Linked DNA regions of Macaca fascicularis. The protein of the gene in region 3 interacts with the protein of the main gene of each other region in a pairwise test. Links are inferred from orthologs where the notes say so. Each region holds a gene or a part of one and is shown on either strand. Other genes may lie near its edges. The genes, in order: TRIM42, ADAMTSL4 and LONRF1.

Evidence for each region.
Region 1: the proteins of LONRF1 (region 3) and TRIM42 interact in binary tests that used the Homo sapiens proteins (3 or more experiments, as listed by UniProt). The two-hybrid records come from large-scale screens. The link is inferred for Macaca fascicularis from reciprocal best matches to the Homo sapiens genes LONRF1 and TRIM42.
Region 2: the proteins of LONRF1 (region 3) and ADAMTSL4 interact in binary tests that used the Homo sapiens proteins (3 or more experiments, as listed by UniProt). The two-hybrid records come from large-scale screens. The link is inferred for Macaca fascicularis from reciprocal best matches to the Homo sapiens genes LONRF1 and ADAMTSL4.

Annotation. Positions count from the first base shown.
Region 1 is NC_088376.1:43,534,834-43,544,989, reverse strand, and holds part of TRIM42 (tripartite motif-containing protein 42), read right to left. Parts: 5' UTR 9,994-10,156; coding exon 9,653-9,993; intron 5,782-9,652; coding exon 5,084-5,781; intron 512-5,083; coding exon 1-511.
Region 2 is NC_088375.1:110,697,083-110,707,799, forward strand, and holds the start of ADAMTSL4 (ADAMTS-like protein 4), read right to left. Parts: upstream 7,186-10,717; 5' UTR 7,095-7,185; intron 6,839-7,094; exon of another isoform or gene 6,686-6,838; intron 6,437-6,685; exon of another isoform or gene 6,297-6,436; coding exon of another isoform or gene 6,082-6,296; intron 6,081-6,081; coding exon of another isoform or gene 5,971-6,080; intron 5,969-5,970; coding exon of another isoform or gene 5,805-5,968; intron 5,803-5,804; coding exon of another isoform or gene 5,604-5,802; intron 5,602-5,603; coding exon of another isoform or gene 5,531-5,601; exon of another isoform or gene 5,396-5,530; intron 4,438-5,395; exon of another isoform or gene 4,385-4,437; 5' UTR 4,276-4,384; coding exon 4,256-4,275; intron 4,026-4,255; coding exon 3,962-4,025; intron 3,665-3,961; coding exon 3,309-3,664; intron 3,137-3,308; coding exon 2,440-3,136; intron 2,227-2,439; exon of another isoform or gene 2,198-2,226; coding exon 2,095-2,197; intron 1,137-2,094; coding exon 1,000-1,136; intron 81-999; coding exon 1-80. UniProt on the Homo sapiens protein: Positive regulation of apoptosis. May facilitate FBN1 microfibril biogenesis.
Region 3 is NC_088382.1:12,682,117-12,692,920, reverse strand, and holds the start of LONRF1 (LON peptidase N-terminal domain and RING finger protein 1), read left to right. Parts: upstream 1-4,176; 5' UTR 4,177-4,219; coding exon 4,220-4,940; intron 4,941-10,804.

The DNA.
Region 1 (10,156 bases), on a different chromosome or scaffold from region 3:
GCAATCATTGTTTCTGAGTGCACAGGGTAGGGGGAGGGCAGTGAGTCCCCTGAGGAGCATACCTTCTTGGGCCCTGTGGGGAAGAGCTCATGGATGGCACTGGAAAGCTCAACAAAGTCCAAGGGCATGCAGTTTATTGAGTGTAGCCGGAGCTGTGGGTCAGGCCTGTAGGTGGTCTGGATGCCATCCTCAATCTGGTCCACCAGGATCTTGGCCGACTGCAGGAATGCCACCTGGCCAGTCTCCTTCAGGGCTTCCTTGGAGTAGGCGATCAGACCATCCATCTCGTTCACTTTCATGGTTGTAACATACACATATTTTTCAATTTCCTTCTGCCTGGACACTTCTAGATTCTCTATCTGCTCCATGATGATCTTCTCTTTCTCCTGAAGAATGCTGCGCAACTTGAGAAAGCCATTTCTGATCTCTTTTCGCTTTGCCTCCTTGTCAGCTTTAAAGCTGTTTTTTAAGATGTTGAATTCCATTAGGTCATTATCAATTTCATATCGGACTGCAAAAATGCCAAGTTAGTTACTTTTAAAATTTTCATCTCCCCAGGTGTCAAAGCCAGTAGCAAGCTAGAACAAATTACCCTAGGCTCCAAGGAGGTGAATGAAGAGGGAGGGAAGGCACTTGTAGTTGGGCTGAAACAGGCTAGAATAGGTTTATGAAATGAATTTGGCCTCCTTAGTACACCTTCCCCTTCTTCTCCCTCTGATCCTTCCCTGGGATATTTCTATCTTGTAACAGTAATCCCTATGGCCTTGGGTCTGAGACTGGAAGTTCAAGCCCACCCTTGATATTGGTTTTTACCAGATTTCAATTGTCTGCAAGTTGGACTTGAGAAGAGGTGAAGTCACAAAGTGACTGGTGCCTGCTTTTCCCTGTCGGAAACCTAAGCTTTTGCAATGGTGAGAGGAAGAACTAAGTTTCTGCTGACTACTTCTAAAGGTTGTCTTGCATCATTCGCTAAGCCTCCAGCCCTATACAACAGTGGGAAATTAGCAAAGCTTCCCTTCATTGAGGTGGCTCTCTTACATGCCCTTTCCCCCCTTTGTTTGTCTTGTGGTTCAGCTATGTCACTTCTCTTTGCCTTTCCCCCACTGCTTTCAAAAAAGAGTCTGCTGTCACACTTCAAGGAAAACCAGTTTATCTTGTGCCCCTCATATGGCATTTGGATTTTAAGTTCACTCAGTCATTCAACAAACATTTACTGGAGTCCTGTTACATGCCATGTATCTTTTAGGCACTAAGGATATGGATGTGATTATGAGAGGGCATCTGTGCTCAAGTTATGAATAAATCCAAAGATACTATAATTGAAGGATGCTATAGCAGGGTGAGCATGTGGCACATCTCTATCTGTGAAATGGGCTTTATGTGAAAGGTGAAATGAATACCTTTGTTAGCTTTAGAGGATTTGAGGCATTAAGGAGCAATTTGAAGAGTATCAACCTTCTGTGGCCGTTAGAAGAATGTCAATCTTCTACAGATAAGATTCTTCTCATGAAGGTAAACTCTTCAGTGAATTGATGGGCAATAATCCTCACCAAATTTTACTCAGAAGTAGGGATGACTAGCTATTTTTGGACTTGGTTCATAACACTATCCTGGTTCATAGGAAGCTGGACTTCTGTGAGTGGTGGTCATTATAACAAGGGTGTGCACTTGAGTATGGGAAACCCTAGAGTTCTGTCAGATCATGCGAACAGGGACCACATTACCACTATGACTATGGTGTGTAGAGGTGAGCAAATGTATTTGTTGAGTAAAAGCCATTCTTTCCTGTCTTCTAACATCTCATTGGTGAATGCCAGCAGTGTCACTCTCTGGCTAACTCCCTGAAGCCCCACTGTTTTCTTGCCATCTCCTTTCTCACAGTGGCTCAGAAAAGATGAGGTGATGCAGGTGAGACTGAAAGGGAAACTACTAGTGTGCGATTTCAGTGCTGAGAAGTGCTTCTTGCCCTCCCCAATGCACTGTGACTATGGCAGCCAGAATTCTACTTTGTGCATTATTTTCTTTGACTATTCAATAGTTACCTACTGTTAAAGATACTTGGATAGGAAATTTCTTCCTGTATGAGGGATTAATTAGGCTTATGTAGGGCAAAGTCCTGAGAAGCAGGATAAAAATTTCTTAGATGAGGGGAAAAAGGCATCTCCAGGAGGAGAAAAAAGACAGAGGAAGCCAGAAATGTCCCATCCCAAACTTCTACAAATATGAAAGCTCTGCAAGAGCTGATTTTAAACGAAGTCAAATCAAGCTCTCTTTTTAGGTAATACACTTAAAATTAGTTGCTATTTATTAAACACTTTTTATGGACCAGATCCATATGTTATTATATATCACATATATCTTCTTATAAGGAAGATATTGTTTCCACTTACAGATGAAAAAGCTTGAGGCCCAGGGAAGTGAAGTGACTACACAGTGTTACACATCAGGTAAATGGGAGAAACTAGGCTCTGTCCCTAATTCTATTTGTCTAGCTCCAAACTAGGTTCTTAATCGCTTCAGCTGTGGCTCTCAGCCCTCTGTGAGCACCAGATTAACCTGAAAGAGTGTTAAAAAAAACCTCTTCCCTTGGACTCATCTACTAAGATTCTGAATCAATGGGCCTGTATTGGGGCTCAGGAAGCCAGGCAAGGCAGTGTGCAGTGAGGTGTAGAATCTAACCCAGGGAATCTCCTGGGATCATGTTAAAGATGCAGATTCTGGTGCACTAGGCCTGGGGTGGGTCCTGAGATTCTGCATTGCTAACAAGCTCTCAGGTGATGCCGATGCTACTGGTCCTCGAACCACACTTTGAGTGGCAGGGACCTAAACTTTTGAGCTCCCTTTATTCCAGTGGTTCTCAACCTTGCCTGCACCATAGAATCACATGAGGAGTTTTTTAAAAGTCCGTCTTGCTGAGCCTGCACCTCTGTGTGGATGGGACAGGGGCATCAGTTTTTAGTAAAGCTTCTAAAATGGATCTTCTCTCTAGGTCCCCAAGTTTCTCAATGTGTATTCCCAGATCACTTGCTTTTGAATAACACGGAGATCTGTTTAGAATGCCAATTTATGGTACCTCCCAGAAAAGTGAATCAAGTGCTCACGAACAAGTTTGAACCCTGGTTAAAAAAATGTTGTGTGTCTGTTTCTTTCTTCGTCAAGGATGAAAGGTTAAATTATTTACTTATAGCTAATATCTAATTTACCTATTATCCCTTTTTCCCTTTCCAACTGCTGGGTTCCTTGGAATTTGGACAGGCATTTTCCCCCCACCTAGAATTGAGCTTTGTTGTCTGACTTTTAGGTGCCCTGGACTCAGAAAACTATCGTAAGTTTCACATGTATTAAGGACAAGGTTCCCTACAGAGGGATGGAAGGCACAGTAGGCTGTAGAGAGCAGCACCCTTGCCATGCTTGGCCAAAGAATTCAGACAAGCCCTGGCCTAGGGAAGCAGTGAGTCCCACCTTCAGAAAACCCTTTTGGAACCAACAGTTCTACCATTTTCTTGATAATATGTGGCTCCTGCAGGGTTCCTTTAATATGAAGTATTCCCTGGTGGTGGTTCCAGAATTAAATAAATGTCAATTGACAAGCAATGTTTCCAGGTATGTGGCAATTGAGAAAACTCGAGGTATTCCTGAAGCTGCTGAGAAGTCAGGGGTGATGTGGTCATTAGCAAAGCCTGTTTTGGACCCACCTTTATATCCAGTGGGACCTTTCTGTGCAGCTCAAGGAAAAGCTGCCTCCCTCCCAATGTATAGGCCTATCTGAATGTTGGAGACTAACAGATCTGACAATGGGAAAGGCCTGGGTTGATCTGGTGCACTTTGGTAACTGACTGCAGGCCACTCCTTAATGAAACAGACCATGGATGGTGGTGGTGGTTCCCCCTTCCTCCCCTTCAATCTCTTCATCTTCAGATTCTGGTCGCTGCTTAGCACAGAGTAGATTGTCAAATAAATGTTGTGGAATTAATGGTGGACACTGGAGTCAAATAGACTGCATCTGCCACTTATTAGCTGCCTGTCCTAATTATTTTTTTGAACCACAGTTGGCTTATCCATGGAGGACATTTTAATGCCTGTACTGTAGCACTATTGAGATTAGACAAAATGTGCTCCACAGGCCTGAGTAAAGTTGGCCTTTATACAAGGAACTATTCCTGAGGGTAAAGGGCACTAAAGGAATCTTTTGGATTCTAATGTCTGACCAGGTAGAGACATACCCAGAAATTATGCGGCTCTTTGTTGAATCCTGTGAAATATGATTATACTTGGTTTTGTCACTGAAACAAGAAATTATGGGCTCTTTGCTGAATCCTGTGAAATATTATTATGCTTGGTTCCATCACTGAAACCATCACTGAAATATTATTTCACTTAAAGCAATATTATATGTAACAATATAAAACAACCAAATCACCACGAACAAGAATGCAGAGGAAAAACAAGCTGTTGACTAGAATACCATTGGCTAGTTATGAATTGTCCCTGTTGTTATATGTTTGCTGCCCGTTTATTTACTTTGGCATCTGCAAGTTTTGGAAAAAATTCATGGAGGGAAATTTAACATTGAGATAATTCTCAGCACTGACTTAATTCTTTCCCCCTGCACATTTAGGAAAACCAAAGCGATCCAACAGTGACAGAACACCTTAGAACGTCACAGAACGTCAGTATACTATAGGATCAAAGTCTTCATTTTCCAAAAGAGAAAATGAGACCTGAGGACATGCAGATTATAATCAAGATTATAGAATCTTTATGCACTTGTCATATGACTTTTTGCATTCTTTACATAGAGTAACTCACTTAATCCTCATGGCAATCCAGTGAGGGGGTCACTACTATTCCCCTATTTCATAGGTGAGAAAAGCAAGGCACGGAGAAGTTAAGTGACTGGTAGTGGTTACCAGGAGCGGACACCAGGATAGTGACTTGCAGGATAGCACAGTGTTTCCTGGTGCCTTGATTGCTCCACTAGGTGGAATCTGTTAAGGCACTCACTTAGCACATTGCCCCACGCCATCTTCCCCATGTGTTCCTGAACTAGAAGTTAGGCTGAAGGAGTGGAGAAGGGGAGGACCTGCTTTGAACTTGGCGATGGCGCTGAAGAGTGAGGCGGCCCTCTCGGAGCAGGCGTCGATGAGGCTGATGGTGTCGTGGCCATTGTGGAAAGAGAACTTGCAGAAGGTGCAGAGCAATTCGTTGTCATTGCGGCAGTACTCGATGATGCGGCTGGATGGATGGTGGATGCAGATCTTCTCGTCCTGTTCCTCGGCGCTGGTGTCCACAAAGACGTGGTCTTGCATGGCCACATCCGAGTGGAAGGCCTTGAGGCAGTCGTTGCACAGGTTGAGGCGGCAGGTGATGCAGCGCTTGTACGCTATGCGCCTATTGCGGCAGACCTGGCAGAGGATGGGCCCGGAGGAACGGTCAAAGCGCCACTTGAGGTAGCCGTGCTGCTGCATGTAGCGCTTGGTGAGGCGCCCGCGCAGGTAGTTCTCCGGCAGCTGCATCTTGTGGCTGTAGGGCATGCAGTGCGAGCGGTCGCACACTGGGCAGATGAGGATGAAGAAATTCTCGGTGACCTCGGCGTGCTTCTGCAGCTGCCGCAGGCACTTCTCACACAGGCTGTGGTTGCAGGGCAGCATGAATGAGTGCAGGCGCAGCCGGCTGCACATGGGGCAATTGAGGTGGTTCACCAGGTGGCTTTTGGCTGGTACTGATTTCACTTCATCCAGCTGGGTATCGCTGCTCCCAATGCGCAGGGCAGTCTTGGAGCTGAAAGGAGAAGCAAAGGCAGGGTTTCAGGAGGCAGGCTCAAGAGCTTGCTCTGCCTCTCTACCTCTGAAAGAACTCTTGGTTTCTGAGGGGCAGTCTAGGGTGGTGGTGAGGAGCCTCAGCTGAGTGCCAAGGTGCCTGCGTTCTCAACCTGTCTCCACCATTTTTCAGCGGGGTGACCTCAGGTAAGCCAGTTAACCTCTCGGCCTATTTCCTTGTTATAAAATTAGTACCCATGTCAGAGTTTCTTGAGAAGATTAAAATTGAGTTTAATGCTTGTACGGACTAAGAGCAGTCCATGGTACACAGTCAGTGTGCTGCAACTGCTTGCTGTTATTAAGCAAGGGAAAAGCCGCAGAGACTGGTCAGGCGTCAGCTAGGCCTTGGTGTTCCGTTGGACATCGGTAATATCAAAGAACACAGTATCAGACAAGGCTACTCTGTGACTTTGGATCAAAGCAGAAACAAGGCCACTTTATAATGTTTGGACTCAGACACGAACGTTGTCTAAATCACGAAAATGACCCAACATCCCCCTATCCTGGTTGATTTTTTTAAACCAAAAAACTGTTTTTTTTTTTTTTTTTTCTTTTTTCTTTTTTTTCCAGCAGCTTTTGGGTCACTCTGTTCTTCCCACCTTCTAGATAAGATTTATTAAAATATTCAATAGATTTACTCCCGTGTCCTCACCTAACATGAGCTCAAATCCTGTAATAACTTTTCAAGGTACTTTACACTTTCCCATGCTTTATATTCTCACTTGTTGCAATGAGTCAATAAATACAATCTTGTCCAACTACAGGTGTGTTCTTAGGGCTTTTTTTTTTCCCCTGGAGGACATTGACATTATTTATTGTACATAGATGGAACACAGAGCAAGTCTGTACCTGAGCCAAGCCTAGAACCTGTGTGGTCTGCCAACCAGACCAATAGGTAATGGTAATGGATCTGGGCTTTAGAGGCAGAGCGTGTGTGATAAAAATGCACCACTTTACAGTTGTACCTTCTGAGATGTTTTTTTAAACCTCTCTCATGTTCAGTTTTCTTAACTATAAATCAAACCTCACCATACTACTTGCTTTGTGAGGTTTTTATAAAGTCTAAATGAGATAATCCATGTAAGTGCTTAACTGCTGGTACATAGTAAGCATTCAGTAAATGTGGCCACTGTAATTACATCCCTTTGCTACTAGCCAGCTAATGTCTGCAGTAGAGAGAAATCACAGTAAAGGAAAATAGTGGCCAAGTCTGTGAAAAGTATGTGCTTCTACTGTTTCATTTGTGTGTGTTAAAGCTCTCCATTTGTCTAATGCCTGAGGCTGATTTCATACATTTAATCGTAAGAACTATGGAGTAAAAGCATACTTGTAAAATTCAAGTGCCTGTTCTAAGAACTTACAATCAGCAAATGCAGTGTATAAAAATAAATGAATTAGCTGTGGGAATGGAGGTGTAAATAGGCACACAATTTGCCGCTATTGCTCTCTCCTCTGTTTGCATAATAGTATTTGGATACTAATCTTGACATTGTGGCTGTGTTTCTTTCTACTTTTGTCTTCTTGCATTCCTTATGTGTCCCTGTCTTCCCCACTCCCTATGTCTGAGTCCAGATAGTCACAGGTGCTTCCCAAGTATATTGGAATGGAGTGGCCCTGTGGTGACAGAGAATGCTTCCTGTGTGGATTAAGGCACCTGGAAAATTTGTGCCTTAGGGATCTGGGAACTCCAGGCATGCTGGCCTCGATGTTCTCAGCTCTGTTTCCTCTCTGCTTTCCCAGATTCCTGCATGGGTCCTTAAGGGATCACCTGGAGGTACAGGTCAATTGTCCATGTAGTGCCCAGATGGACTTTAGTTTGCTAAAAAAGTAAGGACTGGAGGTATAATATAAAGAGAGACTGTTATGAGGCCTTCACAGCAGGTATCTCTACTAGGAAGCTCATGAGCTAGCATTTTCACAAAAAAGAAAGAAGAATGGGGGAGGGAGGTGTTGGAGGACGAGAAAGAGGTCTCAGGGCTAACAGACAGGTATTAATGGCCTAGGTAGCTGTGTTAGAGGTGAAAAAGGAAGTGGGAAAAAGACTAAGATGGAGAGGGATGCATGAGACCAGAGTGAGGCAGGACAAGCAAGGTGCTGAACAGAAAGTGGTGATGAGAAACAGGGGAGGCAGAGGGTCAGAAGCCAGGAGAGAGGCTAGATTGAAGAAAAGCACCCACAGCTGACCTCCTAACACTTGTGGTAGCATCCCTGCCCATCCTCCAAAAGCCTTAGGCTCGGATGGGGCATTCAGTGGCCATGGTTCCATTTCAAAACAGTCATCAAGCCCAGCGCTTTTATCTTCTTGCTGAGATATCCTGTCTCTGCTCCTCTGCACAGCCCCCTCTCTCCCAAAATCAGGCCTGTTCTTGCACCTGGATTCTTGCTGGATCACCTGTCAAATCTCCTGGCTTCCCTCCTAGCCCCCTGCAGGCCGTTCTACACATTAGAATCACCTGAAGGCGGGGGTTGAGTCTAATTAATTCAGATGCTCAGGTGGTACCCCAGACCAATAAAATCAATGTTTTGGGGGTGGGGATCAGGCATCAGTAATTTTAAAAGATCCCCAGGTGACTTCAATGCACAATAACGTTGGGGAGCTACTGAGCCTAAGGCATTTTCCTAAAGCACCAATTTTATCCCTTTCCTGTTGAAATGGGCTCAGAGGTTCAGCTGCTGCTGCACAGAAAATGAGGTAGTTAAGAGAGGAGTGTGGACACTATTTTCCATGCTTTAGGATTTCTAGACTTGCATCGAGAATCCCTGGATTTCCTATTTATGCAAACACTATGAGAGGGTCATGGGTGGAGAGTTATGTTTGTTAAGCATCTACTTAATGTTTAATTGCAAGATGGATAATATCTTTCCCCTGAATTCACCAAACCTTTGCTTACAGAATTGCTTTTCCAGGCTTGAAAGCCTTCTAACTGCCTTCTATTTTTCTGCCTCTTCTAATCCTGTCATCTTATGGTGATGTCATCTTTCCCCTTCTAAGAAGTGTGCTCTTACTACTTCAGACTCCCCTCATCTGTGACGTAAAAAGACTGGTTTGGTAGAGCAGGTGAGGATAATGTAGGACCTAATATGGAGGGTTAGTACTCCAAATGCGTAATTGAGACCCTGAGTACTATGACTTCTGGATGGGAAAAACAAGGTAGTAGGAGTTCATGGATGTATGGGGTATTTATATGATCCTCAGGGTCAAAAGTGCCCTGTAGAAATTCTTACTTTTCCATTAAATGTTGCAGGTATTAAGAGTTCATAGGAAGAGAAAGAGCAGTTTATATTTTTATATCACATACAGATTACAAAGCATGTACATTAATCCTTATATCTATAATATCATGGGAAGGGGGTATTGTCTCCATTTTGCAATATAGCATTTTAAAGTTAAGATCCCAAATTTTAGGTTCCAATCCTGACTGCATCTTTCCAGCTGTGTGATCCTGGGACAACTTTACTTCTCAAAGGCTCAGTTTCCTCATGGAAACAGTGGACTTAGGGTGAGGGGTTAGCTGGGGTCATGCATGAAGTTCCTGGCAAGTTGCTTAAGCACTAACTATTAGCTATTACTATTTTGTACAGATGAGAGAGTTGGGGTTCAGAGGAGTGAAGTGCTCATTTTCATAGTTAATGGTGCTTAGATTTGGAACTCATGGTCTACATACATAGTGACCATTTAGGATACAGTTAATTGCTACAAAATTCTTAGCTCCTTCTTAGATAAAGAAATGAACTCAGAGGCGCACTGGCCTGCCCTGTGGACTTCACAGCTGGCAAGTGGTCCCTAGTTTTCATGAGCCAATGTGGCCCCACATCCAGTGTCTGACACTTACGAGATATGGACGCTCCTGAGGCGGCCCTTGTGGAAAGTGACGATGGTATTGCGGCAGCAGCGACTCTCATAGTAGTAGCACCTAACATTGCTGCTGGCTGTGCAGCAGCACTTACAGTTGGGATCATTGGCCCAAGAGCAGCAACACCAATGGCAGTTGGGGCTCTCAGAACAGGTGCAGTGGCAGAACTGGCAGTTCCGCTCATCTTTGTAAGGGCAGGGGAAGCAGGTGCAGTTCCGCTCTGAGGTGAAGATGAACTTGCAGCACAGACAGGAGCATAACTGAGGACAGCATCTCTGCCATGTACAACATGGACAGCAAACGCACATAGCAGTTTCCATGGCGCCTACATGATTACCGCTGGCCTCCTAGGGCTCTTGATGCCTCCTCTACCAGAATACTGCTATCAGTTCTCCAGTGGAGGAGTCCTTCCTCCCCTGCGTAAGGCCGTCAGCTTGAGAGTTGCAAGAAGTTGGCTGTTATGAGGCCTTCACAGCTGGTGTC
Region 2 (10,717 bases), on a different chromosome or scaffold from region 3:
CAGGTAGAATCATCACCCCCACAGACTCCACAGCCATCAGGACGCCTGCCAGAGCCAAGGATCCCATCACAGCCGGGGCTCTGGAGAGAGTGAGGTGAGGCAGCGGCCACAGAATGCCAGACACCACCTCAACCCCACCCCTGTCCCCTCGGGAGCCTCAGCTCACTACCCTGCTTTTTGTGCTACAAGTGAGAGCACAAAAGCAGCCCCACCGTCCCCAGTCAGACCCAGGGACACGGACAGGTGCCCGATCAGATCCTTCAGGCTCTGCTCAGCCCAGCTTGGCAGGTTAGAATTCTCCCTTGGTTATCTCAGTATAGTGTTTTGTTGTTGAATTAATTAATGAGACTGTAGGCCGGGCCCGGTGGCTCAAGCCTGTAATCCCAGCACTTTGGGAGGCCAAGACGGGCGGATCACGAGGTCAGGAGTTCGAGACCATACTGGCTAACACGGTGAAACCCCGTCTCTACTAAAAAATACAAAAAACTAGCCGGGCGAGGTGGTGGGCGCCTGTAGTCCCGGCTACTCGGGAGGCTGAGGCAGGAGAATGGCGTAAACCCGGGAGGCGGAGCTTGCAGTGAGCTGAGATCCGGCCACTGCACTCCACCCTGGGCGACATAGCGAGACTCCGTCTCAAAAAAAAAAAAAATTAATGAGACTGTGCAAATACGTGTGTGTGCATGTGTGCATGTGTTCATGCATGTGTCTACATGTGTATGTGTACGGGTGTGTGTGCACATATGCGTGTGTGCATGTGTGTCCGTGTGTGTCTGTGTGCATATGCATATGTGCATGTGTTCATGCACAAGTGCACATGTGTATGCACACATGTGTCTGTGTCCATATGTGTGCATATGCATGTGTGTCTGCATACGTGTGTGTACATGCTTGCATGTGTGCATATGTTCATGCATATGTGTGTGTACATGTGTATGTGTACAGGGGTGTGTATCTGTGCGCATATGCGTGTGTGTGTGTGTGCACCCCGTCTTCCCTCACCAGACAGCGTCCAGCCACACAGATGTCAGGGGCTCCAGGCTGACATAGGGTCCCATCCTGGACCTTTTCGGTGTGACGGACATAGAAGCGGAAGCCACGGGGCCGGCAGTTCAGTTCACAGCGCTGGGAGCCCTGGACTAAGGGACAGAGTAGAAGGGTGGTTAGGGGCTCCCTGGTGGGAGGTTAGCTGAGAGAGGCCCCGGGGGGGCACCTTGAGGTTGCCCAGGTCACTGTGGATGAAGGAAATGTGACAACAGCACAAGCTGAGAAGGTGGTCAGGGCCGGCACAGTGGCTCATGCCTATAATCCCAGCACTTTAGGAGGCCGAGGCCGGTAGATCATTAGGTCAGGAGTTCAAGACCAGCCTGGCCAATATGGTGAAACCCCATCTCTACTACAAATACAAAAATTAACCGGGCGTGGTGGCACATGCCTGTAGTCCCAGCTACTTGGGAGGCTGAGGCAGGAGAATTGCTTGAACCCAGGAGGCAGAGGTTGCAGTGAGCCGAGATCTGCACTCCAGCCTGGGTGACAGAGCGAGACTCTGTCTCAGAAAAAAAAAAAAAAAAAGGAAGGTGGTCAGGTCAGTCGAGGTCACTGAGACCATCAAGGGGACTCTGAACCGAGAGAGGAGCAATCCCTGACGCCCATGATTCTGTGTGTTCAGAGCTCTTGAGTGCTTGTCTTGGTGTCAACACAGGCCTAAAATGAAGCGGATGGTAACTTGGGAGCAACCGATACGGTAGTGCCCAGGATACGTGGCACACCCCCACCCAGCTGTCACGGCTGGACAGGATCTCTCCCACTGTGGCCCTCTTGTGTCACAGCCACCCGACCCCCAGTGATGGCCTTCCCAGAGGAGTCCGGACAAAGCGTGTCTCCCGCACCTCCTCCTCCCACCCCGACCCCTCTGCAGACCACTCGCCGCCACCTGTGCTGTCTCCTGACCCAGCCCCAGGGAGAAGAAAGAAGGCACGGCGCAGGGGAAGCAGAGGGGCTGGAAGTCATTCAGGGCTGGGAGTAAGCAGGTGTCTCCTCTCCCCTTCATCCCCAATTCCAAGTCATCACTGCCCAGGGGTGGGCAAGAAACCTCACCTTCGGTGAAGGGCTCCCACTGGTACAGCTGGCCCATGAATTCCTGGGAGTTAAAGGCCGCGCACTGCAGGGCCCGGGGGTCTGGCTGCTCGGGGGGGCAGGGCTGCGGTGAGGGGTACAAAGGAGTCAGAGCTGGGGAGCAAAATGAGGGTAAGGTCAGGGCTGAACCTGGGGAGCAGGCGGGAGGATCAGGTCAGCGGAAGAGCTCCAAGACCCCTGCCCTGAGGTGGTCAGATGCCAAGGCCCTTCTCCCTCAGGGGCCGAGAAGAAGCTGAGGGCCCAGCTTCAGGGCGGGGAGGCCACACTGGAGGTTGGGGTTGGGAGGGGAGACCCGAGGAGACTCACCGCTTGGCTGCAGGCTCTTAGCTGCTCACTCTCCCCAGAACATCTTGGAATAGGGCTACTGGGAGCAAAGAGGCTCCAGAGGGAGCTGGCATGGGGGCCGTTGCTCAGCAGGGGCAGCCAGCCGTCCGGGTGCTGAGGGTCAGGCTCCAGGCGGTGCCCGTGAGGAGTCCCCCCCATTCCCCAGGGCCCCTGGCCCTGCTGGCCTCGGCCCCGAGGGACTGAAGGGAAAGGATCAGGGCGTCTCCCTGCTACCTGGGGACTGGCCCAACCCTGGGAACTTGGCCTTCGTGGCTGAGGGGATGCACGGAAGAAGCCACCTTCTCCTAAGGAGCGCGTGGGTGAGGGGGCCTCTGTGTCAGCGGCCTGGGCTCTGGGGTGGTGCTGTGGAGGGGCAGGCCTGGTTCTGGGAGCCACCTCTGTCTGAGCAGTTTCAGGGCTTAGAGGTTCTGCTTGGGGGGATGGGGTGTGGACAGACAGTTCTGTGGGAGGGAGCTCAGTCTTGGGGCTGCCGTTTGTGGAGAATGGCTCTGCTCTTGGAGTAGGGGATGGAATGGGCTCTTCCCCTCTAGAAGAAATCAGGGACAGCTCAGATCTGGGTGGCCTCCGAGGGTGCCTGCGGTTCCGGTGCAGTGGCAATGCAAAGGGCACTCTCCCATAACCGAACATTCCTGGCTTGATGGGGTCTCGAAGCCGGGACCTGAGAAGGTGTTTCAGATGTGGGGGCACAGCTCTGACCACCTCTGACCCTGTTTCCCCAGTTTACTTCCTGGCACCAAAGACAAGCCCTCTGAAGTCACCCGTGCTCCCCTTTCCTTCTTGCTAAGCCCCCACCTTGCCCAAGGCCCACCTCTTCCACCCAGGCCTCTCACCTCCTGGCCGCTTGAATCTCCTGGGTCTCCTCTCTCCCTAGGTGGGAAGCAGGACCTCGAAGTGGGCCACCCCTTCCCCGAGACTGTGTCCTGTACAAGGGGAGGGTTTCTGGAGAAGTCTGGGGTCTGGGACCCTGGCCCCGGGGGAGGAGGGCTTCTGGATGTCTTGGGGGCCGGGGAGGGAGGGGCAGACTCGGGCGGAGCTGCACTGTAGGGAGCTGACATGTCCGGCTCCTGCGCTGCACCCCCACCCCGCAGGGCTGGGAGCAAGAGGCCCACTGGACCCAAGGTCCCCAGACACCTTCGAGGCCCTGGCCCTCCTCTGTAGGTGTCTGAAGAGAGTGTCCGGACAACACCTATATAGAGAAAAAGGTCAGACAGAATTGGAAGGATTAGAGGGAACTGTCCAGAGCGTCCATCTAGACCACCGCTGGGGCTCACAGAGTCGCTGCCAGTCCAGGGTCACATTCAGCAGCAGAGGGAGAACTACACCTCGGCCTCTTGGTGTTGTGAGGCAAGTAACTGTGGAGTTGGCAGGGGAGGTGGATGGGCTGTGGGGAAAGGAGGCGTGGCCTGGAGAGATGGGGTGGGAGCCCAGGGGGAGATGAAAGGGTGGCAGGCAGGCTGCAGCTGCTCACTTGTCCAAAGCTCACCTCCTGATCCAGGCAGAGCTGAGGGAGGGACAGAAGCAGCAGCAGCAGCAGATACAGCCAGGGCCTGCAAACCAAAGGCCATGGGAGGGACGTCAGACTGGAGCCAGAGGGGGTGTTGCAACACCACCCTCCGCCCCCAGCCGGCTCCCCATATCCTGACTACCAACTTCTCAGAAAGCAGAAGTTACTCATCACTTCCCCTGCCCCTCCCAGTGGTCCTCTTTCCCTCACTTCCAGACATGCAGCCGTCCCAGCAACCCCCCCTTCCCTCCCCACCATGGCCCCTTCTCTCACCTGCCTGCCCAGTTCTCCATCACTCCCCCCTCTACTGCCCCAGGGCAAGGGAGGAGCGGACTGGTCACAAAAACTACACAGCCATCTGGGCAGGCATCTGGGTAGGCATCTGGGTGTGGAGGGTGCTCTCTGCAGGGACAGAAGCCTGGTGGTTACCTCTCCAGTGTCCAGAGAGCTTGGGGCTGGGAGGACAGATCAGAGTGGAGGAGGTGGTGAGACTGGCCCACCCCTTTAGGATCCTCAGGGTGGGAGCAGGGAGGATCACTGCCTTGTCCATCTGTAGAGGCTACATGGTCGGGGGCTGACCTCAGCCTTCCAACTAAGGCTCAGTCCCCACCCCTGGGCCCTGTAGGGGCTTCTTAGCTCCTCCCCAAATCCTACCTAGAGACTGTTTCTAGGCCGGCTCAGGCACACACAAACGGCTTTTTTTTTTTTTTTTTTTTTTGAGATGGAGATCTCACTCTGTCATCCAGGCTGGAGTGCAATGGTGCCACCAAAGCTCATTGTAGCCTCAAACTCACAGGCTCTCCTTCCTCCTCAGCCTCCTGAGTAGGTGGGACTACATGCGTGCACCACCACACCCAGCTAATTTTTGTATTTTTTGGTAGAGACGGGATCCAGCTAAATTGCACAGGCTGGTCTCAAACTCCTGGCCTCAAGCGCTTCTCCTGCCTTGGCCTCCCAAAGTGCTGGGATGACAAGTGTGAGCCACCGCACCCAGCCAGAGGGCTCCTTCTAAAATGGTTGTCATCTGCTCCCACTCCTGCCCTCCCAGAGGTGCCTAGAAAGTAGAGGAGGAAGGCTCCACTGAGGATGTGCCAGACACTCTCTCTGAGGATCCACCAGAAGCCCCTTCCTCGGGTCTTCCAGAAACGAGACCTTCCCCAGACATCTCTCTGTCCTACTTGCCTCCTGGCTTTCTCTTCCCTTCTGTGGAAGAGATGTGCGGGAACATCCAGGCACATCTCAGACACTTTTGGCCAAGGGATAAGCTAAATGGGTTGACGGTTTAATCTCTAGAGAAGAAGCCCGCAATGTAACACCCACTCTGGGTGCCAGCATCCAGCACTGGTTCAGTGAGGGCTTGTTTCCTGTGCGGCTCTACCAGCTGGGGAAGCGGGAAGGAGAGGTGCAGCCAGGGCTGCCTCTTGCCCCAGCCACAGGCCTCTCATTCTCAAGAGGCAGGAAGTCCATCTGAAGTTCAGCTTTGAACACTGGAGAAGTGAGGCTTGGAACCCTCCCGAGCCACAAAGCCTGACTCTCCTTGCCCCCTTCTCACTTAGAGGCCTTCCCACCCCTGCTCCTCATCCCACTCTTGGGTCTGCTTTCCAGGAAAAAAAAAAATGTTTCTGTTGGATCTGAAAGGCACCCGGGAAAGGAATCCAGGGAGCCCTCAAATTGCTGAGGTGGGCCAGCTCTGGGGCAGAAAATGACCAAGAGAAGGGAAGGAATGTGCCTGGGGGCAGACACTGCGCCCCACTGCCCTCCCTGAGACCTAGGGCTCATAATTTGAGGGAGGGGTCAGAGTGGCTGAGCCAGAGCGGGCGTGCCTCACGGTTTAGGGTTGGGGAGGGGGTTGCCGATGGCCACTCCTTCCCCTGGCTGGGCCGGCCACTGAGGTCAGCAACTCCGCCCTGACTGAACGGGGGAGGCCAGGGTCTCCAGAGAAGGGCCCATGTTCCACCCAAGTGTTCAGGCTCTGCCTGACTCTGTTACTCTAGCTGAGGGAAGAAGAAAGGGGGTGATGGTCACTGCCGGCCCCTTCTCTGATGCCGACCCCTCTCCATGCCCTCTCTGCCTCTGTTTCTCTCTGCCACCCAGATCTCACCGCCCCTCTCCACGGGTCTACCCAGTACACATAATCCCGTCCCGAGCTGGGTTTGGCCTTGGCAGTTCCCTGGAGAAGTGAGGGGTGGGGGTGACGTGAGCTCCTGGGGCCCGGGCCAGGCCTGGCTCCCTCTCTGGAAAAGTCCCACCCCACCCTCCCCTGCGCAGCCCGGCAGGGGCCCATGCCCCCTCCTCTGCAGAAACACACGCACATTTGTGCTTCTCACCCCTTTCCATGTGCCTCATTTGGTGTCGTTCACGGCCCAGGACGGGGAAAGGAGAGGTCAGAGGTTGGTGCCAGAATAGACCCTGGTCTGGACAAATGTGGGCTCCTCCGGACCACACCTCTCCACACTGCCCAGTGAAAACCAAGGAACAGAGACCTGAGCAGGGCTCACCCCTTCACCCCCAGGTCTCCCTGCTGGAGAGTGTGGCTCGACCCTATGTTTCTGGAATAGCCACAGAGAATCCCTGTCCTGAGTCCGAATTCCCTGGCCCTCATGGAGCCCTCCACTCCTGGGTCTGGCAGGCCACCCCAACAGGTGTCTTTCTTTTTTGTCAACCTCTTCTGTCATCGGACTGAACTGGATCAAGGGCACCCACCTGCGTCCCTCGCGGCGACCCTGTCCTCCAACTCCAGGAGTTGCAGTAGGGGGGCGGGAGGCACACCGTCCGAGAGCACCCTCCTAGGGAGAGGGCAGGAGGCGCTGCCCGCGCGGGGAGGTCGTGGGTCTGTTTTCCAACTTCGCTGTGTGACTTAGGAGGAATTTTGGCTCACTCCTCGCCCGGGTGATGGGGCCAGAGTTCCACGGGATCAGACCCCCTCCCCAGGAATTCGACCCCAGGGGCTGGAAGATCGTCCGAGGCCACCGGAGCTGGGGCCGGGGTCGTGGCGGGGGCGCGACCGACCGCACAGCGCAGGGAGAGGGGACGACGCGGGCGCGCGGGGCTGGTGGTCTAACGGGACCCGGGAGAGGGGCGGCCGGGGCCGGGGTCTCGGGGAGGTCTCTACCTGCTCTGCGCGCCCCGGTGGCCCGTTAACCCTTCTGCACCCGGACGCTCTCTACAGGCAGCCTCGCTCCGCGGCGGCCACTGCGGCCCCTGAGCCGCTCTCCGGACACCGCCGCCTCGGCCGCGACTCCGCCCTCGCGCCCGCCCCCGCCCCGCCCGCCACGCGCCCCAGCCCGCGCCCCTTGGCGGTCCCGGGGTGGGGACGGTCGGCCTCGCAGTCCCGCTCGCCAGGACCACCCACCCCGGGCTGCGCGCCGGGCGCCCCCGGTCGGCTGCGTGAGCAGAAGCCCGGGCGGGCCCAGCCGGGGTCGGAGGCTGCGGTCGCTCCCGGGCGCTGTCCTCGTGTCCGGCTGGGATTAGGGACTTAAGCAGCCCGGGCCTCCGAGTGGCTCGGGTGAGCGGTGCGAGAGCGGCGCGGCGCGGGCGGCCTCCAGGGGCGCCTGGAGCTAGGCGGCCTGGGAGAGCCGCTGGTCCGGGAGGGCGGCGCCCTGGACGGAGGTGCCCGCGGCCCCGGATCCGCGTGGGTCCAGGCTCTCTCCTCCACGCAGCCTCACCTGCAAGCTCAGTCACTCCTAGCTCTCCCGTGTTGGGCAGTGAACCCTGTGGTTCTGATTGCTGGGACTTCTATGAGCTTCGGTTTTTCCCTCAGTAAGGTTTTACACTCGGGACTCAGCGGAAGGACAACGTGCTGACTTCTGAGTCAGAGTGACCTGGTTTTGAATCTCAGCTCCAGCACTTGCCGGCTGTGTGGTCTTCCACAAATACTTCCACCTCTGTGTGGTGCAGTTTGCTCATCTGCAAAATGGGACTAATCTAATATATGGGATGGACTTGGATATGTCTCTTTATTTATATATGGAAGAATGCACCCCAAACTCAGTAGTATTGGTGACATCTGGGGAGGGGTTCAGGGTTGGAGGAGAACTGAAAAAGGCTTTTGCTTTTTACTCTGTGTTATGTTTATTATTATTATTCGAGACGGAGTCTCTCTCTTTCGCCCAGGCTGGAGTGCAGTGGCACGATCTTGACTCACTGCAAGCTCCGCCTCCCGGGTTCACGCCATTCTCCTGCCCCAGCCTCCCCCGTAGCCGGGTCTACAGGCGCCCACCACCACGCCCGGCTAATTTTTTGTATTTTTAGTATTTTGTATTTTTGTATTTTTATATTTTTATAAAATATATTTATAGTATATATTTATACTATTTTTTATACAAATATTTTTACAAAAATTTTATACAAATTTTATATACAAAATATATTTATAGTATTTTGTATTTTTAGTAGAGACGTTTCACCGTGTTAGCCAGGATGGTCTCGATCTCCTGACCTCGTGATCCGCCCGTCTCAGCCTCCCAAAGTGTTGGGATTACAGGCGTGAGCCACCGTGCCCGGCCTCTTGTTATTAATATTATTATTATTGAGACGGAGTCTCATTCTTGTCGCCCAGGCTGGAGGGCAATGGCACGATCTCGGCTCACTGCAACCTCCACCTCCCGGGTTCAAGCGATTCTCCTGCCTCAGCCTCCTGAGTAGCTGGGATTACAGACGCCCGGCGAATTTTTTTTTTTTTTTTTTTTGAGACGGAGTCTCGCTCTGCCGCCCAGGCTGGAGTGCAGTGGCCGGATCTCAGCTCACTGCAAGCTCCGCCTCCCGGGTTCACGCCATTCTCCTGCCTCAGCCTCCCGAGTAGTTGGGACTACAGGCGCCCGCCACCGCGCCCGGCTAGTTTTTTGTATTTTTTAGTAGAGACGGGTTTTCACCGTGTTAGCCAGGATGGTCTCGATCTGCTGACCTCGTGATCCGCCCGTCTCGGCCTCCCAAAGTGCTGGGATTACAGGCTTGAGCCACCGCGCCCGGCCTTTTTTTTTTTTTTTTGTATTTTTAGTAGAAACAGGGTTTCACCATCTTGGCCAGGCTGACCTTGAACTCCTGACCTCAGGTGATCCAAGTGCTGGGATTACAGGCGTGAGCCACCGCGCCTAGCCGTGTTATGTTATTTTTGTGAATTTTTTAACCACAAGAGTAATCCATCTATTAGTTTTATCTTTTTTTTTTTGAGACGGAATTTCACACTTGTTGCCCAGGCTGGAGTGCAATGGCATGATCTCGGCTCACTGCAACCTCTCCCTCCCAGGTTCAAGTGATTCTCCTGCCTCGGCCTCCCGAGTAGCTGGTATTAGAGGTGTGCACCACCACGCCTGGCTCATTTTATATATTTTATATTTTTTAGTAGAGACGGGGTTTCTCCATGTTGGTCAGGCTAGTGTCAAACTCCCAACCTCAAGTGATCCTCCCGCCTTGGCCTCCCAAAGTGCTGGGATTACAAGCGTGAGCCACCACGCCCAGCTATTATTTCTTAAAAATAAATAATGTATGTCAGCTGGGCGTGGTGGTGAAAACCTATAGTCCTAGCTACTCAGGAGACTGATGGGGGAGGATCGCTTGAGCCCAGGAGTTTGAGGCTGCAGTGAACTATGAACTATGACTGTGCCACTGCACTCCAGCCCCTGCGACAGAGAGAGACCTTTCTCAAAAAATAAATACATAAATAAAATACGTAAAATGACTGGCATAGAGTAGACAATAAATGGTCACTGCTATTTTTATATTTTTACTGTTTTTTTTTTTTTTTGAGATGGAGTCTTGTCCTGTCACCCAGGCTGGAGTGCAGTGGTGCCATCTCTGCTCACTGCAACCTCTGCCTCCTGGGTTCAAGCGATTCTCCTGCCTCAGCCTCCTGCCTAGCTGGGATCACAGGCGCGAGCCACCACACCTGGCTAATTTTTTGTATCTTTAGTAGAGATGGGGTTTTACCGTGTTGGCCAGGCCGGTCTTGAACTCCTGACCTCATGATCCTCCCGCCTCAGTCTCCCAAAGTGCTGGGATTACATATGTGAGCCACTGCGCCCGGCCTATATTTTTACTTTCTATTTACTGACGCGTTGTGTTTTGTTGGGTCTACTCAGTGTTTTAAAGGTTTTTGTTTGTTTGTTTTTTGTTTTTAAGACAGGCTAGTTTCAAACTCCTGGGCTCAAGAAATCCTCCTTCCTTGGGCTCCTAAAGTGCCAGGATTACACGCATGAGCCACTGGGCCCAACCTAAAGGTGTATTTTTTTTTTTTAATAACTTGTCAATACCTATTTTAAAACCTGGATATTTTAAAATTTCCCTTGAAAAACTAAAACACAAAAATAGAAGCTCTAACAACATTGTCGTGCATCCTCACAAAATATCGGAGGTCTTTGGTTCCCCTACCTGTCATTTCTTGGGCACCTTTTGCACTTTATGTTGAGGAAGCAGCAAGAGGACAGTCTCTAGCCTCAAGGAGTTGGTCTGATCAGGCACAGACACTGCAGGTAATGGGGTCATGGGAAGGTTAATACTGGGCTCAGCTGAAGGAGATGTTATCTCTAAGAAGATGATGGATATGAAAACATAAAATGCTTTCAAAATGTAAGAATTGGGCCGAGTGCGGTGGCTCATGCCTGCAATCCCAGCATTTTGGGAGGCCAAGGTGGGCAGATCACCTGAGGTCAGAGTTCAAGACCAATCTGGCCAACATGGTGAAACCCCATCTCTACTAAAAATACAAAAATTAGCTGGGTGTGGTGGTGGGCGCCTGTA
Region 3 (10,804 bases):
GTATTTATTCATTTAATCAATTTGACTACCAGCAAAATAGGCCACGGGTCACACACTTAGTATTTCTAGATTCTTCAGAGTATTAGAAATGAAGAATGAAGCATAGCACCCTTTGTAAGGGTAGTGGCCCTTGCGCACTTTGTGTACCCTGTAGGGATAACAAAGAATGCGCAGTAAACGGTACTTGGTTAGATGGTAGTCATTGCAGGCAATTGGCTTTAGACTTACACTTCATATAAGCTGTATTTAACCTACTCGGGTTGTCCTCATTAGGGCTTTTCACTTGGAACGCTATTATAGCAATAATATATTGTATTTTTAGCATCTTATATAAAGTTTCCCACAAATGCCCAAGTTATATAATCAGCTCCCCCTCGGCCCCCCCACCCCCGGCTTTCTTTCAGCTTCCCACAGTTTTACAGTAGGGGCAAGGAGGTGTGAGTGCAATAGGGGATCCCTGTACAGTGACTGCAGGTGTTCAGGTCTCAGAGACTGGTTCCCCCTCTCTAAACAGGGATGGGTACGCACCAACAAAATGTGTTTCTTGATACCCTTCTCTTCTATTCTCAGCCCTCACCTGCTGTTACATTTTCAGCAGGTATCACATTGCTGTGTTCCTCAGTCTGGGAGATGCTCTGTCTCCTCTTATTGTGTTCAAACCAAGCCCTGGGGCTTGGCTCCAGAGGCAGAAGGCACCTTAGGGGTAGTTCCAGTTCCCTCTTTCTACAGATAGCAAATGAGGCCCAGGGAACCCAGGTGACTTCTTCCCTGGCATAGAGGCATAAATACAGTCAGCACCAGGTGTCCAGATTCCCTCGCTGGTATGACTTCTATGAAACTAGCAGCTTCTCAGATCTCAATTTTCTCATATATATATAATGAGAGGTATGACAAGGTGGTCTCTAGAGCCCCCTCCATCTGTGTATTGTGTTGAAAAATGCTATTGGGGACCAGGCATGGTGGTTTATGCCTCTAATCCCAGCACACTGGGAGGTTGAGGCAGGGAAATTGCTTGAGGCCAGGAGTTTGAGACCAGCCTGGCAACATAACGGGGCCCGCTTCTACAACGAGTTTAAAAAAAAAAAAAAAAGCAATTTGCTGGACAGAGAGGCATGCGTCTATAGTCCCAGCTTCTCGGAGAGGCTGAGGTGGGAGATCACTTGAGCCAGGAGGTCAAGGCTGCAGTGAGCTATATACTCACTATGCACTGTAGCCTGGGTGACAAAGCTAGATTGTGTCAAAAAGAAAAAGCTATTGGGTAGGTACTGTTTATATGAAATGTTATAGTTTACTCTCTTTGAATAGAACATTATCAACTGAAATGAATCAGGAATGGGACGTATTTTGCTTGGACTGACAAATTCAGTTTCTTTTTTAATAAGAATGTAAAGAAACAAATGGTAAATTCACCCACAGCAAAAAAGAAAAAAAAAGAAAAAAAAAGAGGTTCAAATACACATCTTCAGCTGAGTTGTATACAAGAAAAGTGCTGTGTTATGTTACTCTTAAATAGGAGTTTACCAAACTATATCAGGAAAAGTCTTATGGTGTGGCAGTAGGAGGCAGGGATAAGCAGGCAATGATGGTGATAAGCATTTTCCAAATTAGGAAACAGATACGCTTTTCTTCTTACTCTCTTACATAACTGATCTATTTTAGAAGACAACACTCAAAAACCGAAACAGAATACAAATCTCATGATTTTACTACTTTGTTAGCAAAGAATGACACAAGCAAGTAATGCGAAGGAAAAGGAGAGCTCTTCACTCCATTGTACTTCTCCCAGCCAGGGGCAGTTTAGCAGGATTCCCTCTTCTCCATCACAGCCTGCTGGGTGACTCAGAGACCTGTCTAAATTTTAGGAAATGAAAGTAGAAGGACACTAATTTTTCTCACTTTTGAATTTAAACAAGCAGTCACATTATCGTGCAACTTTGGGTGGCAGAGAATGATGGAAGGGTGACCTGTGACAGTGCCAGTGACTGCTTTGCCTAGACTTCCTGATTCAGAGGGAAGTTATGCAGCACACAAAGGCCACAGCGGCAGTACAGCCTCTTACATAAATAAGTTACATAAATGAGAACAAGTTATGTAAATGTATAAACCAGCAAACATGAATTATAACCATTCACAAATGCCAAGGAGAACACGGTAAGATTCCTCCTACGGTCCCATTTTTTTCTCCTGCACATTATCATAATTGTGCCATTTTATTTCACATCAGAATCAGATGTGGTTATCTGTCATATTTATTAGGGAAAGGAACGCCAAAGGACAAATAATACTTCACATTACTTTTCTGAACCACATATTGTACTTTTGGCAGAAATCCCGTAATAGAACCCGACTTTATATTTGAAAAGAAGTTTATGAGTGTTTATTAATTTATTATGCTCCTTGTAATAAACATGAACACATTATTTACTATTGTATATTTTGCAAGTTGCCATTAAGAACAAGAATGCATTACAAAAAATGAATGTGCGTGTACACATGGATATTTGTTATATTATTTGTGATTTCAAGTCTCAAGGGAGTATGTGGACATCAGATGAAAGTCACTGTTCTGCTTGTTGAGGGAAGGTAGTAATTTCGGGGGTTAGGATTGGATTTAAGGTTATCTCATGACTTAATCCCAGTGCTTCCCACGCCAAATGCTGAGGAGGTGCTCCTTGGATCTAGCTGCAATTTGCTTCAGGTGCAATGTGAATGATAAATGAACTTGTTTCTGTCTGCATCCTGTTGGAACAGGAGGCTTGGCTTTTTCTCAAGCACCTCTTTTTTATTCATTCCCTTTAGGGTAATATATCTCTATCTTTTCTGACGTTACACGACTTGCTCATTGTGTAGTGAAAACACATTAACTCAAAACATTTTTTAGCCTTAATTGCCGTTCCTTATAAAGAGAAATATTAAACGTATACCATTTTCAGACATACTATGCTCACGTGAACTTTCCAATTAGCAACTTCCTTTGACAATCTATTTCTATGAAATATTACTATTATTTTATTAAATATTATATACGATCAGTCTAACGTAGTAACATAATAGTGGAATAGACGTGATCTTAAAATCTATATTAGCTGTGTGATTTTTGACAAATAACTTTCCCTCTGTTTCCCATCATTTGAAAAAGGACTAAAAGTTCTAAGTGACTCCTAACATTAACAATCTAATACCCTATAATCAAATCTATAAATATTTTCAGCGGAGAGCTTTAAACTTGCCGCTGTGAAGTTTAAGGGAAATAGCACCTATTATATATCAACCCCATCATTTTCTTCTGTTGGCAAAACTGCAGACCCTGCTTGGGTTGTAGTAATACGGTGACCGCCACGTGAAAAACATTTTTCTCGGTGTTTTCTTTTAAATATGCCAACTATAGACTTTAACCAGCTGTAAGGCAGTGCCTGAGGTGTGGAGACACCTGAGGAACTGTGTGGGCTTTCTCCCTCGAGGTGGGCCTACGATGAGTTTTAAGCAAAGGGCAGCAGTCACCTGGCACCAGGAAAAACTCCTTGCCCTCTGGAGGGAGTCGCCCCAGGAACGTGGGTTTTGTGTTCCTGTTTAAAGTTGAGTCCTCTAGAACCGAAGAGTCCCAGACATCTGCCGAAGGTGCCCTCCCAGGCCCCCTGCTTGGGAGCGCCCACCTGGAACCTGGGCATAGAGGAATGAAAATGCAGACCCGCACAAGCGTGAGGACACGCCGGGAGACCCCCGCCCGCCAGGAGTTGGGGCAGGTCCGGCTTGGGCGGGGGCGTCGGGGGAGGGGTGGTGACCCTGAGTCCCGCGCGGCAAGGGCGCGGGCCACCGCAGGTGGGGGCGTCGGCGAGCAGGCAAGCGGGGACGGAGACTCTGGGCTCCATCGGGCTTTGTTCCGTCACGAGCCGAGCCCTCCTTTCCGGAGAAGCCAATTAGATCTCCGACGGAGGAATCATCCGACCTGCGCCCCCGCCGGGAGGGGGCTCGGGAGGGGCGGGGCCCAGCGCTTGGCTCCTCGCGAGCGCGGCCGCGGGCTGCGTGGGGGAGTCCCGGCGCCGTCGCCGAGCCCGGCCCCGCCCTCGCCAGGCCCCGCCCTCGGGGCTTCCCGGGCGCGCGCCGCCCCGCCGTGTCCGCGCGCCACGCCCCCCTGCTCGCGGGCCGCGTGCGGAGCCGCGCGCCCGGGAGGCTCCCGGACCGTGGCGGCGGGCGGCGGCAGCGCAGCCCTCCGCGGGCCATGTCCTCTCCGGCGGTGGCGAGGAGTTCCCCGGGAGGGAGTCGGGAGATGGCCCCGGCGCCGCAGGGCCGAGGCCGGTTCTGGGAAGTGGGCGGCGGCAGCGGCCTTCGGCTGGAGCGCGCGGCCGCGGAGTCGGAGCGCTGGGAACTGCTGCTCCGCCGCGGGGAGCTGCTGGCGCTGGGCGGCCACCTGAAGGGCGCGCTGGAGGCGTTCGCGGCGGCGCTGCGCCGCGGGGCCCCGGCCAGGCCCGAGTGCCTGGGCGCCCTGGTGGACTGCCTGGTGTTCAACTACCGGCTCCGCCACGGGCTGAGCTGGAGCGCGGCCCCGGCTGCGGGCGCGGACGGCGGCGCCTGCGGGCTCCTCAGATGCCTGGGCTGCCGGGGCTTCCTGAGCGAGCCGGTGACCGTGCCCTGTGGCCACAGCTACTGCCGCCGCTGCCTGCGGAGGGAACTCCGCGCCCGCTGCCGCCTCTGCCGGGACCGGCTGCCGCCCGCCACCGCCAGTGCCACTGATGCTGAAGGGACCGCCCCGCGGCCGCCGCCTCTGGCAGCCGCCATCGCCGCCTCAGACTTCAGAACCAGCGTCGTCCTCAACCACCTGGCCGAGAAGTGGTTCCCGGGCCAGCGCGAGCGGGCCCGGGCGGCTGGCAGACTCGGGGAGCTGCTACACCAGGGGCGCTACCGGGAGGCCCTGGCCGCCGCCTGCGAGGCGCTGCGAGCAGGTGACCGCGCGGGGATGCGGCGGGGCCGGGCCGACCGCACCCTCCTGGCCCCGAGGGCCGGGGACCCGGAGCTTGTCTGCGTCCCGGGAGTCTCCTCTGCTTCCCCGGGGCCGCTGGGCCACTGGCGTGTTGGGTCTCGGGGTGCTGGGGGGTGTGGGAGGGGGCGGCGCCCCGGGGTGCTTCGGTCACAATGGGGATCGCCCTGGGAGCCGACTGTGACGCAGCGCGGGGAGGGGCGCTCGGCGCGGGGTTCCCTCGGCCGCGGCCTGGCCGTCGGGCGCGCGCTCCGGGCGCGGAGTGGGTGACCGGAGCCGTGGGTGCCCCGGCGCGGGATGGGTGGGAGCTGGGCTATCCCGAGCGGCCGCTCGCTTCCTGCCGCGCGCTTTCCGGGAATTGACTCTCTCGCGCCAGGCCCGCCGCGGGGAAACGACTGCCGGGGTGGGGAGAGAATCCCCCACGAGGACAACTAGGCCGGGAAGGCGGCGTCTCCCTTCCTCACCCACAAAAGTCACCGGGACAATTGGGAGCCGCGGGAGGGCAGAATTGCATAAGCTGGGGGCGGGGGTCGTTGTGTAACGGGTGACGTCCGGTGGGCGTGGCGGGAGCTCCGGGCGGGCACCCGGCCCCGGGAGGCCCCGCAGGCCGCCGGGCTTGGGGCGCGGGGCGGAGCTGCCCCGGGTGGTCCCTTGCTACCTGGAAATGCCTGAACTGGTTTCTCTCGAAAGTTTCAGCCGGCCTGTTTCAGATCATGCTTATTTCCTATGTACTTTGCAGTGCACCTAGCTTATGGTAAAGATGAGAGGGGCTTCCTGATCCAGAGTTCTTTGCCACGCTTCTCTTGGCCGTTCCACTTAGGATCAAGCTGTGGGGAAAGGCCTTGTAGGTCTTGAGTGCATTTCTTAGTCTCCAGGAAGCAGCCTCGGCCTCCTAACCTAGGTTAGCTAGCACTTTCTTCTTAAGGTGGTTTTAGGCGCTGAAAGGGGGCAGTGTCAAGCTTCTCTTATGTAAAAGGAAGAGTTGTTCTTTAAATCAGTAGTTCTTTACCAGCCGGATTTACCTCCCCTCTCTCAGGGGACATTATCTAGAGCAATATCTGGAGACATTTTTGGTTGCCACCTCTTGTGGGGGTGGTGCTGGTACCGACATCTAGTGGGAGAGGCCCGGGGTGCTGCTCAGACATCCTATGAGGCACAGCAGGATTCCCACAACAAAGAATTATCAGGCCCCAAGTGCCACTGTTGATAAACCTTGTGTTACGCGTATTTCAAGATTTTAGTGTCTATCCATTGGCATGATAGCTGGGGGAATGGCATGATAGTTGGGGGATAGTTGGGGGAATAATCCCCAAGAAAATAGACATCTAGAATAGCAGCTGACTTTAGGTATTACAGGTAAATTTATAGACTGTGTAACTGAAAGGATCATCTTTCGGGTCATCTTTTGTCCCAAGTGCTTAGTCATATTGAACTTACGTCAAGATCTTGCATTGTTTAATATCTTCAGAGTTCGAAGCACAAACACCGGAGATTTTTGTATTCTTTCAGTGCCTTTATGAGGAGTAGGCAGTTATAAAATAGAAAGATAGGCTCAGAACAAAAGAAAAGTGTTTGGAATACAGAATTCTGATACGGATGACTCTGTCCCTCTGGGTGAATAAAGAGAAGAGAAACTGGACTCCGCTGTACAGACCATCTAGTAACTGACCATGGTATGATTTTTAAAGCAAAGAAGCAGATGCCAGGCAGTGAAGACTTGCGCACAGTCACAGTGTTAACTGGTTGAGAGGCAGCGCTGTATCTTCCACTTCTCCTAAACGTTGGTCTAGGGTTCATCCTGCCTTATAGCTTATCTGATGAAAATGTTTATTATACATATCCAAAGAAGTTTTTTTGGTCACTGAGGCTGAAACTTATGGACAGTACTACTGATACAGTGATTCGACCTTAAATTAGGTGTTTCACAAGAATCCAGGTCCTGGGCCATGGAAGAACAGTGAACACATTTGCTAATTGAGGTCTAGCTTAACATTTTGTGACCAATAATAATTAACAGAGATTTTGGTTCTTGTATCGAGGATGTTATGTTTAACAGGAAAAGGCTCTGAAAGATGTAATCTCTGCTTTTTACAAGCTGCATAGATTGCACGTGGGGATTTTGTGCACTTAGCAACTTAATTCTACTCTTGCAGCAATAGAACCCACGTCTTCTGACTTTCACTTCATTAGCTAATTTTTTCCTCATTTTTAGTTCTTTCAAGAATCATTAATTCCATACTTGAAAATGTCCGAATGGCACGAATGAGGATAAGTTTTTTTAATCTTTTGAATTATTAATGTGAAGTAAAATGGGAAAAAAATCTCAGAGCTATTAGAGTTGGTAAAGGGCCGATTTATAAGTGTTTCACAATTTATGGGTGTAAATCAAAATGTTAACGAGTGCAGTCATAATCCATTTGTATGATCGTTAGGCTTTAACTTCTTTGGAATTGGCAAGTTAGGCATTTGACATGTATTTATATAACTGTACAGTTGTAGTTATTAATGACCCTGTCATTATTGATAATGAAAAAAAGATCTTCACTATAATTTTTTTCATGTAATTCTTATAATGAAACAAATAAATACTATTAACTAGAAAAAATCTAGTCTGCAGTTAGCCCACACACATCCAAACTTATCTCTGCCAGCAGCAAAAGAAAGCTTGAAAACCTTTGCCAAAATCAGAAGTTTCCCATTTAGATTACATAAGTTTCTGTTGAATTGAAATATATTTAGATAACATTTAAACCATTGATCTTTTGGTATTAACTCTCAGATGTTTCATAACTTTCTGTCTTTTTAGTATTCAAGGATATTATGTAAAGTTTTTCCTGCACTGAATCTCTGTACTTGAGCCTATTGAAATGATCCCACTAAGCCATGCTGTCTGCCTTTTGTGTTTAACGTTTTTTTACACTGACTTGTCTCCTTCGTGTGTTCACCTCTCCCCTAAAAGAAGACAACAGAACAGTATAATTTACAATTTGTACAGGTTAAAAGAAAAATAAAGGTTATAAGGGGGAGAACATTTTGTTTTAAAACATTTGGGTAAGGAAAATTTTGTCTTTAATATTAATTCTGTAATCCTTGACCAGGCATGGTGGCTCACACCTGTAATCCCAGCACTTTGGGAGACCGAGGTGGACGCATCAGTTGAGGCCAGGAGTTCGAGACTAGCCTGGCCAACATGGTGAAACCCTGTATCTACCAAAAATAGAAAAAATTAGCCAGGCGTGGTGGTGCGTGCCTGTAGTTCCAGCTACCGCAGAGGCTGGGGCAGGAGAATTGCTTGAACCCTGGAGGTGGAGCTTGCAGTGAGCAGAGACCACACCACTGCACACCAGCCTGGGCAACAGAGCAAGACTCAGTCTCAAAAAATAAAAATAAAAATAAAAATATGATCCTTGACTGTTACCCAGTACTTTTACATTATTCATATTAATATCATTTGATCTTCACAGAGAATTCTATGGAGTACCATAATATTATCCTCAGAGGGAAACTGAGGCACCTATGGATAGACATGCAATGTGGCTTAGTGATTAAAGCTCTGCATGCTGGAAGCTGACACCTGGCTTCCATTCCCAACACAGCCCTCGGCTCTCTCCGACCTTGTGCATGTTGCCTAACCTCTCTGTGTTTTGGTTTCCTTATCTGAAAAATGAGAATAGTCTCTACCTCATAGGGTGTTGTGAGAATCAAATGAGTAAAAACATGCTAAGTGCTTTAAATAGTGCCTGACACAGAGTAATGCCCAGTAAATATTGATTAAATATTTTTAAAATGTAGAAGTGTGTTTTGGCCAGAAGGTGATTTTGCTGAAACTGGAATCTAAACCTTGAGATTTTACGTCCTGTTCTGTTCTGTCACTTGGTAGAGAGTAAAGATTACATCCCGATTTTAGTTTACACATGTTAACTAGCAGTTTAGCATTCATCAATAAACTATAGATACTGAAAAGCTTTAGCTATCAGAAGATCAGTCAAATTATAGGTAAATACTGAATACATTTAAAGAAAATGTGGAGGGTTTTTATTTCATAACTAGGTTAAAATGAAGAAATTTGAATTTAAACAATACAGTAGTTTCCCTTTATTTGTGGTTTCAGTTACCCACATAGTACAGTATGATAAAATATTTTGAGAGACCACATTCATGTACCGTTTATCACAGCATATTATTATTGTTCTATTTTATCATCAGTTATTGTTACTAACTTCTTACTATACCTAATTTATAAATTAAAGTTTATCATAGGCATCATAGTATATATAGGGCTTGGTACTATCTGAAGTTTCAGGTATCCGTGGGGGTCTTGGAACGTATCCCCCCCGGATAAAGGGAGGCTCCTGTAACTTATTTATGTCCTTCCTTATTGTGCAGAGGACTTGAAACAGTAAACATTGATGTCTGTATGGTGATTATAGTTCACAAGTATTTTCATTTCTGTTATTGTAATTGATCCATACACAAACTCATGTGAGATAGGAGGGCAAGTATTAGTACACCTAATTCACAGATTTAAGAAAAGTCCCAAGAATTTTAGGTGACTTTCTTAAGGCAAGTAAGTGACCAAGTTAAAACTGAAAGCAGAACCCAAATATGTGCATATTGATTCTAAACGCAAAGTTTATTTTAAAATTAGCATGTAAAACATAAACCTATTCTTACCATCCAACAGTTTTTTATTGAGTAGCTACTATATACCAGGCATAGTTTTAGGTGCTAGAAATATAAAAAGGAGTAAAATAAAGTCCCTGTCCTTGTAGAGTTTGTATTTTTTGTTTCTTTTATAATTGTAGCAAATTGAAAATCCCTAGAAAATGGGGTTTACTGCCTAATTGACTTCTTCTTAACCAAGACTGTATCTCTAATTATTTTCTTTGATTCATAATATACTTTAAGGATTTTTTTTTTTTTTTTAGTGCTTCAGGGTTACTAAAAACATCAACTATAATGGCTATTGATATAAATGATAAAAAAACTGATTGAAGTGTCCCATTTCAAATGAATAATTTGTTTTTTAATCTGTTTCTCATTCATCAAATGCAGAATTTACCAAAACTGAATTATCTTAGATTTTGAGTTATTTATATATTAACTTTTTGTTTATTCAGAATCATTTGTGTATTTGTTGGAATATTTCTAAGAGGCTTGGAAAATCTCAAGTAAAATTTTAAATGATTTTGTATAGTGTTCTGCCTCTTTCCAAAGATATTTCTGAAAATTGGAATTGTTTTATTATTGAAGTTGAATGACTTCAGGGAGCTCTATAATGCAAGATGGAAGCTTCTGTTTGGTTTTTTCTTTCCCTTTGGTAAGCTCTTTTGCTTCCCCTCCCCTCGACCCACCTTTGTGCTGTCTGTTGTCCAGTCTGCTCTGCTGATCCCTAAAGATGTTTCTTATCTAGGCTACCATTTATGCGGGTAAAAGACAAGGTAGAAAATGCTCTTCTGTACCTTGTATCAAGGGCTAATCTAATATCTTCATCACCTTGTTTTGAGATATTTTGGAATGTTATCAGCAACTCTTATAGATGGAGCGTGTATGTCCCAGGTGTGGTGTTAACTGTTTAACATGCATTATCTTATTCAATCCTCACAGCAGTTATAAAATGTAGGTGTTTTAGAGGTAAGCATATTATAGGTGAGGAGATTTCAAACAGTTAAACTACCAAAAGGGGATGTGAACCCAAATTCTGTATCCAGTGTTTATGATCTTACTATCCCAAACTCCTACTCCTGAACATTCTTAATCAATCATCAACAACTTATCAGTTGGTAGCTTTGAGCTCAGCCCTGGTAACCAAGTCCTACTATACTGAAC